4 linked regions of the Saccharomyces cerevisiae S288C genome follow. The protein of the gene in region 3 binds, or shares a complex with, the protein of the main gene of each other region. Each region holds a gene or a part of one and is shown on either strand. Other genes may lie near its edges.

Region 1 (3,513 bases), on a different chromosome or scaffold from region 3:
TATCCCCATTATAGCGTTTGGAACAAAATCTCTATGGCCTGGCGCATCCACAATAGTAAAATTTGCCCTATGGGTAGAGAAATGCGATGTACAAATTGACACTGTTACACCACGTTCGCGCTCTTCATTTGTCTGATCCATAATCCATGCAAATTTGAAGGATGACTTACCCATAGTTTCACTCTCTCTTTGTAGCTTTCTCAGTTGGGATTGGTTGACAATGTTCAGATCATAAAGTAGTCTGCCCATTAGAGTTGATTTTCCCGCATCAACATGACCAAGAACAACAAAACTTAAGTGAGGTAAGGCAGATTTAACAAATGCAGAAATATCATGAGGTTTCTTTGGTTTCGTTGGCACCGTAGTCTTATAGTATCTTTGAACTGTCTTTTCATCATTGGCTTCCTCACCATTGCGTTCACCCTCACTTTCTTCCTCGTCAAGCCAGTCTGGAAGCCGATCATTTGGCCTTTGTTGCGAAATTGAGATGTTTGCCAGTTTTTGAGTAACATTCGCACTCCCATTAGCAGCAGCAATTGGCTTCTTTGGTGTCTTCTTCTTCTTCAAAGTTTTCTTCAATTCCGCCAGCGTGCTTTCCAAATCGAAATTGTTGTCAAACAAAGCTAGCTTAAGTGAAAGATTATCCCAGCCTTGGTAATCCTGTAACTGCGCCTTTAGAGTAGGAAATACCTCGTTCATTAGATCATATTCATCGTCATTCAAATAATCATCAAATTCACCTTCGTCGTGAAAGTCCGGCATGTCGTCTGCTCCATCGCTGTAGTCACTGTAAGCCATCTCGATAGTCAATAGTTGTCGAAGCAGAAGCCTTTGGGTGTCTCCAAGCTGTACTTAACTCTTTTTAAATTGCTTATTGGTTAGCTTTCATGTGGTATATTCAAGTCACATTAATGGGCGTCTCCGTGCATTGTGATCAATATATGAATACGAAGTACTTATAGAGTAGTATTTACACGATTGTTATTATATTTATATAGCATTCACGCCTGGTACCACAGGAGTTTTCTACGCTTACGGTCCTCTCTGGCTATACGCCTCTTCTCCTTCCAGCGTGATTGGATTTCTTGCAATCTACTTTCCATAATTTGTACATGTTGTTCACTAGGTTTCGAGACCATGGATACAAATAATGGCGAAATGCCATATTTTGCAGCCAAAAATTTGCGTGTATACTTTTGAGGATTGTCAAGACGTAACTTCCGGATCTCATCAATTTCTTGAGGTCCCAGATGATAGGTTTTGCCGTTCACTGTGCTCTTACCTACGAGAACATTTGGACACTGCTTCGCTTTAGTGCTTTGAACAGGCATGTCAAGCCCTCTACGAGGGTCACTGGCTGCCATAAAGCTACGTGGAATGGTCTCACTGTTAACAGATCCGGTTGCGATGGATTCTGATGGTTGATAGTACATTCCTGGAGCATCTCTGTGCTTTAAATACCCTTTATAGTTAGATGCGCTCTTAGTCTTGTTGTAAATCGTTGTCACTTGTGTTTTGGGAAATCCAAATTGCTTCCAGGCAGATCCAGCAGTGTGGAACGATCTGCAGCACACACCTCTGCCAATCATTCTTGTGCTATTTTACTTTGTCTTTAATTTTCCATTTTAACTTGTTGAAAGTATCTCTTTTTGCCCTCTTTTCTATTTTCTCAAATAATAAAAGCGGTGAAAGCTGAAAAATTCATGAGATGACTGCAGATGATAAAACACAAGAAGGCCCAAAGACAATACAAATACCTCTGGTATGGGTCATTCGGGGCGTGAGGAAAGGATAAAAGACATATTTAAGGAACTTACGTCAAAAGAACTAACGCCTGGGTTGCTTTTGACACTGCAGAAACTAGCGCAAAAGCCGAATACTAATCTAGAACAGTTTATTGCCAGCTGTAAAGCTTTGACGAAACTCAGCAGTAACAATCCAATCATTTTTAATGAACTTCTGGAGCTCCTCAAGAATAAATCTGAAGAGGACTCGACAGGCCCAAAGAAAATCGCCCCTTCTATAAATAAGAGAAAGAAATTTAAGATCCAGTTAGACCTTGACGATAATGAAGATGAGCTAGATTCTCCAGTTCAAAAAAAACCAGCACCTACACGGACGTTGTTCAAGAGAATAGATAAACTAAAGGCCAAACAGTTGAGGCAGTATTCGCCCACCGTGAAGGATCCTTCTCCAAATAGTGAACAGCAAACACAGAATGGTCATGCTGAAACGAAGGACTATGAACCGACTCGAAGCGAAGTAGTTGAGGAGGACAGAGAATGGTATGATAATGATGATGATTATGGAAATTTGGTGCCTGAACCTCTGTCTGAATTGCCTGAGGAAGCGAAACTACTACCTGTCATTAGGAATATCGACAACGATGATGCCTTACGAAATACCGTTCAATTATACCCCATACCACTCAAGCAAAGAATGGAATGGATCCCTCCTTTTTTATCAAAGTTTGCTCTTGAAAACAAAGTGCCCACTTCCATAATTATCGGGTCCATCTCTGAGACGTCCAGCCAAGTATCCGCTTTATCAATGGTGAATCCATTTAGGAATCCTGACAGTGAATTTTCTGCGAACGCCAAACGAGGTAGTAAGCTGGTTGCCTTGAGAAGGATAAACATGGAACATATTCAACAATCTCGAGACAACACCACTGTTTTGAACACTGCCATGGGGGAAGTACTAGGCTTGGAGAATAACAATAAAGCAAAAGATAAGAGCAACCAAAAGATTTGCGACGATACAGCTCTTTTCACGCCATCAAAAGATGACATTAAACATACTAAAGAGCAACTGCCTGTTTTCCGCTGCAGATCTCAATTGTTATCATTGATAAGAGAAAATCAAGTAGTGGTGATAATTGGTGAAACGGGCTCAGGTAAAACCACGCAACTTGCACAGTATTTATATGAAGAAGGATATGCCAACGATAGGGGGAAATCTATTGTTGTCACACAGCCGAGAAGAGTAGCAGCCATATCCGTTGCAAAAAGGGTTGCAATGGAAATGCAAGTTCCATTGGGTAAGGAAGTAGGCTATTCTATAAGGTTTGAAGATGTGACGGATTCTGAGTGTACAAAACTTAAGTTTGTAACGGATGGTATTCTACTCAGAGAGACCTTATTGGATGATACACTCGATAAATATTCGTGTGTTATTATTGATGAAGCTCATGAAAGGTCATTAAATACAGACATTTTACTAGGTTTTTTCAAGATTTTATTAGCACGTAGAAGAGATCTAAAACTCATAATCACTTCAGCAACAATGAATGCGAAGAAGTTCTCCGCATTTTTTGGTAATGCTCCTCAGTTCACAATTCCTGGAAGAACTTTCCCCGTACAGACCATATATACTTCCAACCCTGTTCAAGACTACGTAGAAGCTGCAGTTTCTCAGGCTGTGAAAATTCATTTAGCAAACGATTGTTCAAGCGGTGATATTCTCATTTTCATGACAGGTCAAGAAGATATTGAAACAACGTTCGACACTCTG
Region 2 (4,023 bases), on a different chromosome or scaffold from region 3:
TTTCCTAAACTCACTTCTTTTCCTCCCTATCTGCTTTTGTTTATTACAGTTGAAGGCTACTTGTGCCGTTCGTGTGAAAAAATACTCGATGAAAAAAAAAAAAAAAAGATGATGACGATGACTTTGTTGAAGAAATGTGTTTGAAGACAGTGGAGGATAACAGCACTCTCATCGCACTTTTGGAAGCGTATCATGAAAAGCGATTCAGTTGAAATCACTACCATCTGCCCAGATGTTGAAAATTCTCAGTTTGTTGTGCAAAGCAACTGTCCAGAGACTATTCCAGAGATTCTAAAGTCTCAAAATGCCGCTGTGAATGGCAGCGGCATCGCTTGCCAACAACGTAGCTTACCAAGAATCAAAATCTTGGGTACCGGTGGTACTATTGCATCGAAAGCTATAGACTCCTCTCAAACTGCCGGCTATCATGTTGACCTGACCATCCAAGATCTATTGGATGCCATTCCAGATATATCCAAGGTCTGTGACATTGAATATGAGCAACTATGCAACGTGGATTCTAAAGACATAAACGAGGATATTCTTTATAAAATTTATAAGGGCGTCTCAGAATCGTTGCAGGCTTTTGACGGTATAGTTATTACCCATGGGACTGATACGCTATCTGAAACTGCATTCTTTATTGAAAGTACTATTGATGCTGGCGACGTTCCTATTGTTTTTGTTGGTTCGATGCGTCCTTCAACCAGCGTTTCTGCTGATGGCCCTATGAACCTTTACCAAGCAATTTGCATTGCTTCAAATCCAAAATCTAGAGGAAGAGGTGTTCTTGTTTCCTTGAATGACCAAATTTCCTCTGGTTACTACATTACTAAGACGAATGCAAATAGTTTGGATTCTTTTAATGTTAGACAAGGCTATTTAGGAAATTTTGTCAACAATGAAATTCACTACTATTATCCTCCTGTGAAACCGCAAGGTTGCCACAAATTCAAACTGAGAGTGGACGGTAAGCATTTTAAATTACCAGAGGTTTGCATTTTATATGCTCACCAAGCCTTTCCGCCAGCTATAGTCAACTTAGTGGCAGATAAGTATGATGGTATTGTTCTTGCTACCATGGGTGCTGGTTCATTGCCGGAGGAGGTCAATGAAACCTGCATGAAATTGAGTTTGCCGATCGTATATTCCAAGAGATCGATGGATGGTATGGTGCCTATTGCCAACGTACCAAAGAAAGGTTCAAAGGAGGATAATCTCATCGCATCTGGTTATCTAAGCCCTGAAAAGAGCAGAATCTTGTTACAATTATGTTTGGCAGGTAACTACACGTTGGAAGAAATTAAACATGTTTTCACTGGCGTCTATGGTGGGTGAAAATTTTGTAATTTTTTGCATTTGTGTCGATATATATATATATATACATAGACACAGAGATAGAGATATAATTATGCAAGTCCCTGTTAATGCTAGTCTGAGATGAGTACAGGAATTCTTCATTTAGATTGTCTCGGCTATGTCACTTTTCTATCGTTTCACCTGCACATGGCTTTGTCTTGAATACTGAAGCCGTTATTATAGTTCTATCTTCATGTTTTTAGAGGTTTTTTTTAAATGAGTTTATTAAAATTAAATTTTGAATGTTATTTTTGAATAAAAATATAAAAAAAATAATATTAATAATTTTTCATTAACTGCTCATGATATCAGTGCATTAGAAAATCTTTTGGTTCCACTTTTCCTATAAAAATAATTCAAGTTTTATCATTATATCATTTTTAAATATTTGATTATCATCGCCCGCTGGTCACCGCATTTTTAAAGAATAAATATTACTTTTTTCGAAATCTGGTGTTTAAATATTTTTAAGAAAGTTAAAAAATAAGGAATATTTGATAAACAAAAAAAAATTAGCCTTTATATATCCATTTTTGTTTATGTATTCCTTTTTTTATTTTCTTATGTGTTTGGGATTTACTGTCGCAGTCTTTTCAAATTTTCCGGGCTAAACCGGAAGCCGGAAGGTCTGGGATAAGACAACAGTATCCAATACAATATCAGACTACAGCAAAAAGCTTATTCAGAGATCTTTACAGAAATCAAGGTCACTGCCGAACTATGTTACGAAGATCTATTCATACCACTAAAATCCTCCAAAAACCTAATGCTACTTCGCATATTTGGTCGGACTTTACCACAAGGCCTAGTTCACTTTCTATCCAATCTTCAAAAGTGAAAAATTACCTTTTCCAGAAGAAAGCTTCTCTAGACCCACCATCTATCAGCAGAAGAAGTAACCGTATCAAATATTCACCTCCAGAACACATTGATGAGATTTTCAGGATGAGTTATGATTTTCTTGAGCAAAGATCCAGTAAGTTTTATGAGTTGGCCAATAAGACTAAAAATCCCTTGAAGAAGGATGCACTTCTCATAAAAGCAGAGATCAATAATCCTGAGGTACAATACAATTTTCAGTTTAATAACAAGTTGAACAATGTTAAGGATATAATAGATTATGATGTGCCAGTGTACAGACATTTGGGGAAACAACATTGGGAATCGTACGGCCAGATGTTATTGATGCAAAGGTTAGAAACGTTGGCTGCCATTCCTGATACTCTTCCAACTCTGGTTCCACGGGCAGAAGTGAATATCAAATTTCCCTTCTCTACTGGTGTAAATAAGTGGATCGAACCTGGTGAATTTCTATCGTCCAATGTCACATCCATGCGTCCCATTTTCAAAATTCAAGAATATGAACTTGTGAACGTTGAAAAACAATTGTATACGGTACTGATAGTCAATCCTGATGTTCCAGATTTGAGTAATGACTCATTTAAAACGGCTTTGTGTTACGGATTGGTGAATATTAATTTGACTTATAATGACAATTTAATAGATCCAAGAAAGTTCCACAGTTCTAATATTATCGCTGACTACTTACCTCCGGTACCTGAAAAGAATGCTGGAAAACAGAGATTCGTTGTTTGGGTATTCAGACAACCCTTAATCGAGGATAAGCAAGGTCCTAACATGTTAGAGATTGACCGAAAGGAACTAAGTAGAGATGATTTTGATATCAGGCAATTTACGAAGAAATACAATCTAACCGCTATTGGGGCACATATCTGGAGAAGCGAATGGGATGCCAAAGTCGCCGCCGTCAGAGAAAAATATGGCCTACCACCTGGAAGGGTTTTTAGCAGAGTTAGAAGGTGATCCTAAATAGTATGACATTATAGTATCCTGTACATATAAAATAACGTGTCATTGTTAATAAAGCTTGATGCAAATAATATAAAGTAAGAATCTGAAAAATTTTTGGAATGTGAATTTTGTTTACAATACGATACGTATGATATTAGTATGTTCTAGAATATATACATTTCATTTTTTTCCTTATTGTTTGTGCACTAACGAATGAAGAAAAAAATATGGAACATCTAGCGAACGAGAATCCATCATAACTTCGTCATTCAGTGCGAGCTAATGTGCATTTTTAGTATCCTATTTATGTTGAAGCTTCTATTTATGTTGAAGCTTCCTTCAGGGATTCAACGGCGTTAAGAATAACTCTTTCAAAATCTATATTAGGATCTTCCAAATTAAATGAGGCGTTCGCAGGCACATCTTTAGGAGTTACTACAGGGTGTAGCTTGGCGTATTCCTTCTTTGCCTCCTCTACCAGCTTCAATTTCTCCTCGTACTGTGCCTGCTCCTCTTTCTTCTTAGCATTACACTTCAAAATCATATCATTTCTAAAACCAAAAAATAGCCCCAAACCCAACGCAGAGTATCTCAAAACATTAACTGTCGACATCCTTTAACTCACTCAGCTAGTTCCTATATACGTTATGTTCCGATATAATACTTCCTTTTATCTAAAATTTCTGTGTGAAAAGTCAAAAAAACTAAAGAAAAATTTATACCCTTAAATAGATCTGATTGGCTCCGCGGACCAATTAGCGTGGAGATTCCGCGAATGATCGAATAATAAAGATATGTCTTAATTAAACCCATGGTCACCCAGCTTCGATTGAACGGTATGTATTCTTGAGT
Region 3 (3,676 bases):
AATATGTAAATATAGTAGTATGAATCTAACTGAGTAAAAAAAGGGAATAACAAAACAAAAAAAAAGGAAAAGAGATGGATAGCATACGTTATGAAAGTAATAAAACCTTAGAGATAGAGATAGAGAGAGAGAGAGAGAGAGATGCACCTTTTCTATTCTCAATAAAAAAAGGAAAGTAAGTGTAAAAAAATTTAAAGGAGGGATATATGACACTCCTACTAAGCAGTCGTTTTTTTTTTCTTTTGTTAATTTCATTCTTCATGCTGGGTTTTGGATGATCTAGTGTTTGCACTTAAAATAATTTTTTTTCCTGCATTCTGACATCGCTTTATACATCCTCGAATGCTGTAATTTCAATCCGAACCGTTTCAGCTGCTTTACAAACCAGTTGGTATCTTTGCGAACCTTAAACTGAAAAACTCGGAATGGTTTCATTGACTTGAAACGAAGCTTGCGCAACTGCAATCTGGATCCCGACCAACATTGTTTTGCTTTTTGGCAAGAATGATCGAAATACCTTTTAATATGTGGAGAAAATTGCCTGTATTTATTATGAAGTAGCACAAAGAGCCTTTTCCAGCGGCGTTTCTGTTCTTTATGCAATACCCTTAAACTTTCTTGAGCGGATTTAAAAGAATTCTTGAGAAATAGGTGTAACTTTATTCTTCCTCCGTTTATTTTGTTAATTCTCTTGTGCCAACCGTCTTTCATTCGAGCTTTTGTTGTATACCATAAAATAACTAAGTCTGTTTTGTATCGTCTCCAGCCCATTAGGTCATCATCCTTTAATGGGTATGCAATATGATTGTCGAAGTCGACGTAGTATTTTCCTGAAGGAGCCCACTGACTTAAAGAGTCACTTGATGAATCGTAAGATTTTTTATCAACAAAATCGATATTGCCGTACAACAGCTTCCTTTCATTATTACGTAATGACTGTTGTGATTTAAAACCTGCCAACACATCACCAGTCAGGGAATATTCGAGGGCGAGGTATGAAAAGGTCATGGAAAGCAATGAAGATAGCATGATAACATGCCACATCTTCAATTTAGCAGATTTACCCTCACTTTTATCTATGATATGATCCGATAGTGTGCTAGAATTCCTTATCGTACTATCCTTCAGTTTCGACCCCTCCATACTTGGCAATACCGTTCCGCCAACATTTGAGCCGGACAAAGTATCAAATGACTCTGAAATAGTGGGAACTCCAGTTTGATCAATATTAACTCCAGCATTACTAAATTCATTAGATGTTCTAAAATCGTAAATACGATTCATCTGTGCAGACTCTTCACTGCTAGTGTTCGATAGGACATCTGCATCGAAGTCCTCGTCGTCCTCTCCTGCAAAGGAGCTTTCATGCAAACTATCCAAAGATATTTCTGACTTCGATGACTGTTCTTCCCCTTCTCTCCCTTTACGTAATCTACGTAATCTAACTAAATTCCAATGATCGTCTTCTTCTGACATTTTAGGTCCGACAACTCGACTGTTTTACTAGTCTCTATTATCGTCACTGCGTATTACTCTGCTACTGTGCTTGTTACTTTATACCGGAACAGTAGCTCCTAAACGATTATTCCAAATGAAGAAAAACGTTTGGCCAGTAACCTGCATAAAACTGAATAACTATAATGATACTCCGACTAATAATATATCCCAATGCCCCATCTCATCTGTGTAGATCAATTTTTATGGCTCGATCCAGGTACCTTGATAAGCAGCTGTCGCGCAAAGGGGTTACCGCAAAATGGATAGATGGACCGGGGGCACACCGGGGTAGGGGGTCCGGAGGGTTAACTGTCAACTCCACCCATACAAGACCGCGCAGAAATCGTCGCAGGACCCCGCCGAACGGCGAAAGCAAATATGCAGCCGTAAAGACCTAACAATAAACCTAATGTAGTCATAGGGCTAATTGATTTTAAATATATGACCTAGCTGACTATTCAAGTTTGCCCTAATTGATGAGTTTTTGAAAAAAAAAACAACTTAGGTTTCGCTATCCAAGCTTATGCTATGGGAAGCGTTGGAAAACTTGCATATAGTATGAACAAGAGCGAGATATAAAACTATAACGGTAGATGGAAAGTAAAGAGTAGACAAGCTCGGAAACATGGAAAATAGCATGATGTTTATATCGCGTTCCTTGCGGAGACCCGTTACTGCTTTGAACTGCAATTTACAAAGCGTTAGAACAGTCATATACCTTCATAAGGGTCCGAGAATTAATGGTTTGAGACGAGATCCAGAGTCGTACTTGAGAAATCCTAGCGGGGTACTCTTTACTGAAGTTAACGCAAAAGAGTGTCAAGACAAAGTTAGATCCATACTACAATTGCCCAAGTACGGAATAAATTTATCAAACGAACTGATTTTGCAGTGTTTAACACATAAGTCGTTCGCACACGGGTCAAAGCCATACAACGAAAAACTGAATCTGCTAGGAGCACAGTTTTTGAAACTACAGACGTGCATTCATTCGTTAAAGAATGGTTCGCCGGCCGAGAGTTGCGAGAACGGGCAACTTTCTTTGCAGTTCAGCAATCTGGGAACAAAATTCGCTAAGGAATTAACGTCCAAAAACACAGCATGCACATTCGTTAAATTACATAATCTAGACCCTTTCATATTTTGGAAGATGAGAGACCCAATAAAAGATGGCCACATAAATGGTGAAACCACGATTTTTGCTAGTGTCTTGAACGCATTTATTGGTGCAATTCTGTCAACGAATGGATCTGAAAAAGCAGCTAAATTTATCCAAGGAAGTTTGCTGGATAAAGAAGATCTTCATTCCTTGGTTAACATTGCTAATGAAAATGTAGCATCTGCAAAGGCAAAAATATCCGACAAGGAAAATAAAGCATTTCTGTGAAGATACAAAAAATATAGTTGATGGTTCACTGGCCAAAAATGTATAAAAGAAAAATTTATCTGTAAATAGTGATCGAAATAAAATAAGATAATAACTAAAGAATATATATGACTTTACTGTACAGATCTATAATTGAAAAATGACGAGAGGTCCTGTGAAAGAGTCTGCCTGTTCGCCATCTTCACACATTCAACCAATTCCCTGGTGCGCTTGGTTACTTCCATCAGGATATCTGCTAATTTTTGATAGAATCGTTTCTTCCCAAGCTTTGTGGAATCGCATCCATAAGTACACAATTCCGATAACTTTTGCGAGCAATCTGTGAGCCTTTCAATAATTTCTTTACAGTGCTCGCCTAAATCCAGTTTAAAACTTTTTTGGACCATTGCTTTGGTAGTCATATCAATCACCGATTCCAAAATAGGAATAATCTCGATGGAATTTTGACATAATCTCGAAACTGATCTTGCGGACTTGAACAATTTTGATTTAGAGGCTTGAACATCATTCAAAATGCCCTGCCTGCCATAGGAAGAACAACCATTGATTTACTCTCAACAAATTCGACGAGGTTATTTATGTTAGCGTTGTGCGTGGTTGAGTTGACATCAGAATTATTCAAGTTTTCTTCTGAAGTAGATATTCTTAATCCAAGACCAGAGTTGGGAGCAAATTTCTGCACTTTCTCTCTGAATTTCCTCATTTTGGTCACGGTTGGCGAGTAAAGTACGTCTGCAGCTGGCGGAATATTTGCATACGGCTTCGCCGTTTCTGCCACTGGTTTAGTGATAA
Region 4 (3,573 bases), on a different chromosome or scaffold from region 3:
GGAAAACAAGTTCAAAGAAGCCAGTTCATTATGGCCTACTCGTAAAATTTCCGGGTACTCCAGGATGGCCAGTACTTGCCTGGTAAAGGTCAAAGGCTTCTGATCCAGTTGCTGCGGATTACCAATGTTCGCATTGATAATATCATCGAAAGGCAAAACTTCTGGGTTTTTTTTCAATTCCTCTTTTAGCTCGTCAGCTCTGGTTGGAATAGCTCCTCTTACAGCATATTCTGCCTTAGTGACACCTGTATTCAAATCTTTTTTAGTAATCTTGCCAGCGGGCTTAAAATCCAAATCCTTTGCGGTGAACACACCTTTCAAATCCTGTTGGTGTGTCATTGTCATGTGTTCTTACTTCTTCTGTGTTTACCACTTACAAAAACAACACTACTGTGGCGCTCCTTCCCTTTATTCTTATCTTTTATGCCTCTAGAGATATGAGGAAATATTGGGGTATTTACTGAATGAGAAAAGGATGATGTCAGTCAAGAAAGGATCAAAAAGAAAAGTGAACAGAATATAGTTCCCACACGAAGTAGTAAATTTAGCTATCCTAAAAGTGTATTGGTAATTTGAAGAGATATGTAGATGTACATATGGGACCATAAGAGTAGGAAAAATAAAATAAAATCGCCAAACAAGTAGGAGAAGCCTCAAGATACAAGCCGTTTCCATGGAGAAAATATTGCGAATGAGGCCAAACTTGAACTTTTTTTTTTTCTGCTAAAAAATTCAGAAAAAAAATGAAATTATTTTCTTAGGTATAATGAAGTAATTATGACGAAGTACTTTGAGAACCCATAAAGAGAAGCAATTGAAGACGTGTGGAGGACATCAGCCCGCAGCACATTAGTAGAAACAATAGTATCGTGATGTGATCCCTCTTGGACCCTTTGCCAATCAAGGGTGAAGCGAAGCCATTTAAAACGTACGAACAATGGCGGTAGTTGAGGTATGGGTGAGGCCGCAGATTAAATCCCGGCGGCAGGAGCAACCGCTTTTAACCAGAATTGTATGTTATAAAGTATCTGTATATACGTGTATATATGTTGTGTGTATGTGAATGAGCAGTGGATCTAAGTAACTAAGTCCTCTAGTTCTTCAGGATCGAGGCCTTCTTCGCTGTACACTAACTCCATGGTTGGGACGGCGGCAACTTCTTTGAAGTTCTTAGACAGCAGTGGTAACGCTGCACCTTCTTCTTGATTCCGAGTGATGCACTCAGTCTCATCTTTTTCGCCTTCTTCATCAATTTGTTCTAGTGGGAGTAAATCAACTTTATCTGGGGTGTCATCTTCGTCTTCCAAGTCAAGCTTATATGGTGAGTTGAACGTCTTCAGCTTTTCAATATCATCTTGTTGAAATGGGGAATAGCCTTCTGGTACATACGGTAACGGCTCCTGCCTCTGTGGTGCTATTTCGATATCATAGTCATCAGTTTTATCACTTTTATCGTTTTTAGTTTTTTGCTCATTCTTCGTGGAGTTCTTTATGAGTTGTTGCAGACCACCTTGCTCATTAAATAGTCCTAGGCCACCATTTAATTCATTTTCACCGTCGGAGGAATCCTGTTTTAAAAGTGCACTTTGGAGTTTTTTGCCAAGTTTACTCTCGGAATCTTCATTACCTTCATCATCGTCGGAACTCTCTTCATTTTTACCTGAATCTGCAAGATCTTTTAAAACTAGACTTTTCATTTTAGGTAAAGCATTATAACCAAGGACAGAACCGTACTTTTGTAACTTTCTTGAATTGCTTAACAAATCATTATGGTTGGCCCTACTACGACTGCGAGAAATTTGCGAAAGTTTCCTGAGTTGGTCGTTTTTGCGTATAGATAGTGTATTCTGTAGTTGTGGTAAGTCTGCATCTTTACTCTGATTAGAAGTTTCGGGAAAAATAAAGCTTTTCGATCTATTGTTGTCTTTTGCTGCCAGAGGCAATCTTCCTTGTTGTTGCGCATGGGTATGCAACCTTTTTGTGGGTGACACCTCCTTCCCTCCTTGTATGTACTTTAATGTGTTGCCATTGTTGCTGTTCGCATCCCTTTTGAGTTGGTCCAATCTTACAGGTGGTTTTAAAATATTAGAGTGCGACCTTTTCAGCAAGTGAGCCGGCGTCTGTGGAAAGTTAATGCCGGAACTTTCATTCCCTGTATATACGATATTATTCTCTTTATCTTCGTTAGCTGGCATCATAAAGGTTTATTATCTAGCACTTAATCTAGCTTGGTACCGCAGAAGTGTAATAGTATGTGAATGGGAAAAACCGCTAGCAACCGTTACTTGCCTTCGCCGAATATTGATTTAAAGCTGCATTTATTTTGTTTGTTTATTTTGTTTGTTTTTCTTTTTGACCTCTTACACGAGTTTTTTGACGCGTTTGAGATCTTTGTGTGAAAACGATAAGCAACCTACGCTAACAAATACACACGTCGCACGGAAAGTGATAGTGAAGCAGATATTTCTCGCAAATCCTATGTTATCCGTAAAATAAATCCAACCCTAAAGTATTAACATGTAACAACTTAAGCGCTTCCTTAAGACTGTATAGATATATATATATACATATATATACATAATCATGAAACGCATCGTCGAAAGGTCATTTGAAGCTCGGATCACGTGATCGAAAGCTGTAAGGAATTTGAAAAGCCAATTTTCCCGTAGAAGCTGTGAGGTACAACAAGTGAAATAACTACAGGAGAAACTCACTGAGAAACGTTGGAATAGAACAGTAGTAATCGCAGGACGGAATGCCACTATTTGCAAGGCTCTGCCAGCCTCAATCAAGAAGAATGTTTTCATCTATATCTTCTTTCTCTGCTCTATCTGTGTTACGCCCACAAACCGGTATGCTCTTAAACAGTTCACCATTGAAGACTCCGTCCTTCACACCGTTGGGATTTGGCTTAATAGGTCAAAGAAGATGGAAATCAAGGGGTAACACCTATCAACCTAGTACATTGAAACGGAAGAGAACTTTTGGTTTCTTGGCTAGGGCCAAGAGCAAACAGGGCTCTAAGATATTGAAAAGGAGGAAGCTCAAAGGTAGGTGGTTTTTGTCTCATTGAAATTTCACATACTATTCAGATAAATTTGAATACTTCTTGTACATAGGTATCTAATGATTATGCAACATACACTTTCACTATTATTCAAAAATAAAAGAGCAGTTACTTTATTCCACTTTAAAAAGACGGTTACTTTGTATGTACATGATTTTATATAAAAAGAAAGAAAATGCACCAGTATATATATATATACAATTAAAAAAGTCCAACAAGACAAAACTGATTCGCTGATTAAGCAAAATCGATTACAATACCGGGGCCATGTGTGCTTGATAATGTGGTTTTACTCAGTATATTTGGTTTCTTAGATTTTTGATTATCAACAGCAGTTTTAAATGCCGCTCTAGCGGATATAATGTTTTGTAAAATTTCTCGATCAGTGAAGTAGCATTTGCCGACTCCAATGCTGATAGAGTTTCCCCTTTGCCTGAAAGGCATAGATCCTAGACTTTCTTGAAGTAAGGAGCTTATATCATCACTCACCGTACCTTTTTTGACAG

Evidence for each region.
Region 1: MRPL15 (region 3) and MRPL20 share a complex: the UniProt entries of both Saccharomyces cerevisiae proteins name them as parts of the mitochondrial large ribosomal subunit.
Region 2: MRPL15 (region 3) and MRPL35 share a complex: the UniProt entries of both Saccharomyces cerevisiae proteins name them as parts of the mitochondrial large ribosomal subunit.
Region 4: MRPL15 (region 3) and MRX14 share a complex: the UniProt entries of both Saccharomyces cerevisiae proteins name them as parts of the mitochondrial large ribosomal subunit.

What each region holds. Positions count from the first base shown.
Region 1 is NC_001143.9:598,093-601,605, forward strand, and holds MRPL20 (mitochondrial 54S ribosomal protein mL58 MRPL20), read right to left. Parts: upstream 1,590-3,513; coding exon 1,002-1,589; downstream 1-1,001. Other genes in the region: ribosome dissociation factor GTPase HBS1, read right to left, coding at 1-798; DEAH-box RNA helicase PRP16, read left to right, coding at 1,765-3,513. UniProt on the Saccharomyces cerevisiae protein: Component of the mitochondrial ribosome (mitoribosome), a dedicated translation machinery responsible for the synthesis of mitochondrial genome-encoded proteins, including at least some of the essential transmembrane subunits of the mitochondrial respiratory chain.
Region 2 is NC_001136.10:1,108,510-1,112,532, forward strand, and holds MRPL35 (mitochondrial 54S ribosomal protein mL38 MRPL35), read left to right. Parts: upstream 1-2,079; coding exon 2,080-3,183; downstream 3,184-4,023. Other genes in the region: asparaginase ASP1, read left to right, coding at 193-1,338; TIM11 (F1F0 ATP synthase subunit e), read right to left, coding at 3,494-3,784; PEP7 (phosphatidylinositol-3-phosphate binding protein), read right to left, coding at 3,971-4,023. UniProt on the Saccharomyces cerevisiae protein: Component of the mitochondrial ribosome (mitoribosome), a dedicated translation machinery responsible for the synthesis of mitochondrial genome-encoded proteins, including at least some of the essential transmembrane subunits of the mitochondrial respiratory chain.
Region 3 is NC_001144.5:757,358-761,033, forward strand, and holds MRPL15 (mitochondrial 54S ribosomal protein mL57 MRPL15), read left to right. Parts: upstream 1-2,122; coding exon 2,123-2,884; downstream 2,885-3,676. Other genes in the region: ATG39 (Atg39p), read right to left, coding at 280-1,476; SPH1 (Sph1p), read right to left, coding at 3,393-3,676. UniProt on the Saccharomyces cerevisiae protein: Component of the mitochondrial ribosome (mitoribosome), a dedicated translation machinery responsible for the synthesis of mitochondrial genome-encoded proteins, including at least some of the essential transmembrane subunits of the mitochondrial respiratory chain.
Region 4 is NC_001136.10:679,420-682,992, forward strand, and holds MRX14 (mitochondrial 54S ribosomal protein bL34m MRX14), read left to right. Parts: upstream 1-2,755; coding exon 2,756-3,073; downstream 3,074-3,573. Other genes in the region: alanine transaminase ALT2, read right to left, coding at 1-345; PDS1 (securin), read right to left, coding at 1,077-2,198; YDR114C (uncharacterized protein), read right to left, coding at 2,505-2,807; mitochondrial 54S ribosomal protein uL1m MRPL1, read right to left, coding at 3,305-3,573. UniProt on the Saccharomyces cerevisiae protein: Component of the mitochondrial ribosome (mitoribosome), a dedicated translation machinery responsible for the synthesis of mitochondrial genome-encoded proteins, including at least some of the essential transmembrane subunits of the mitochondrial respiratory chain.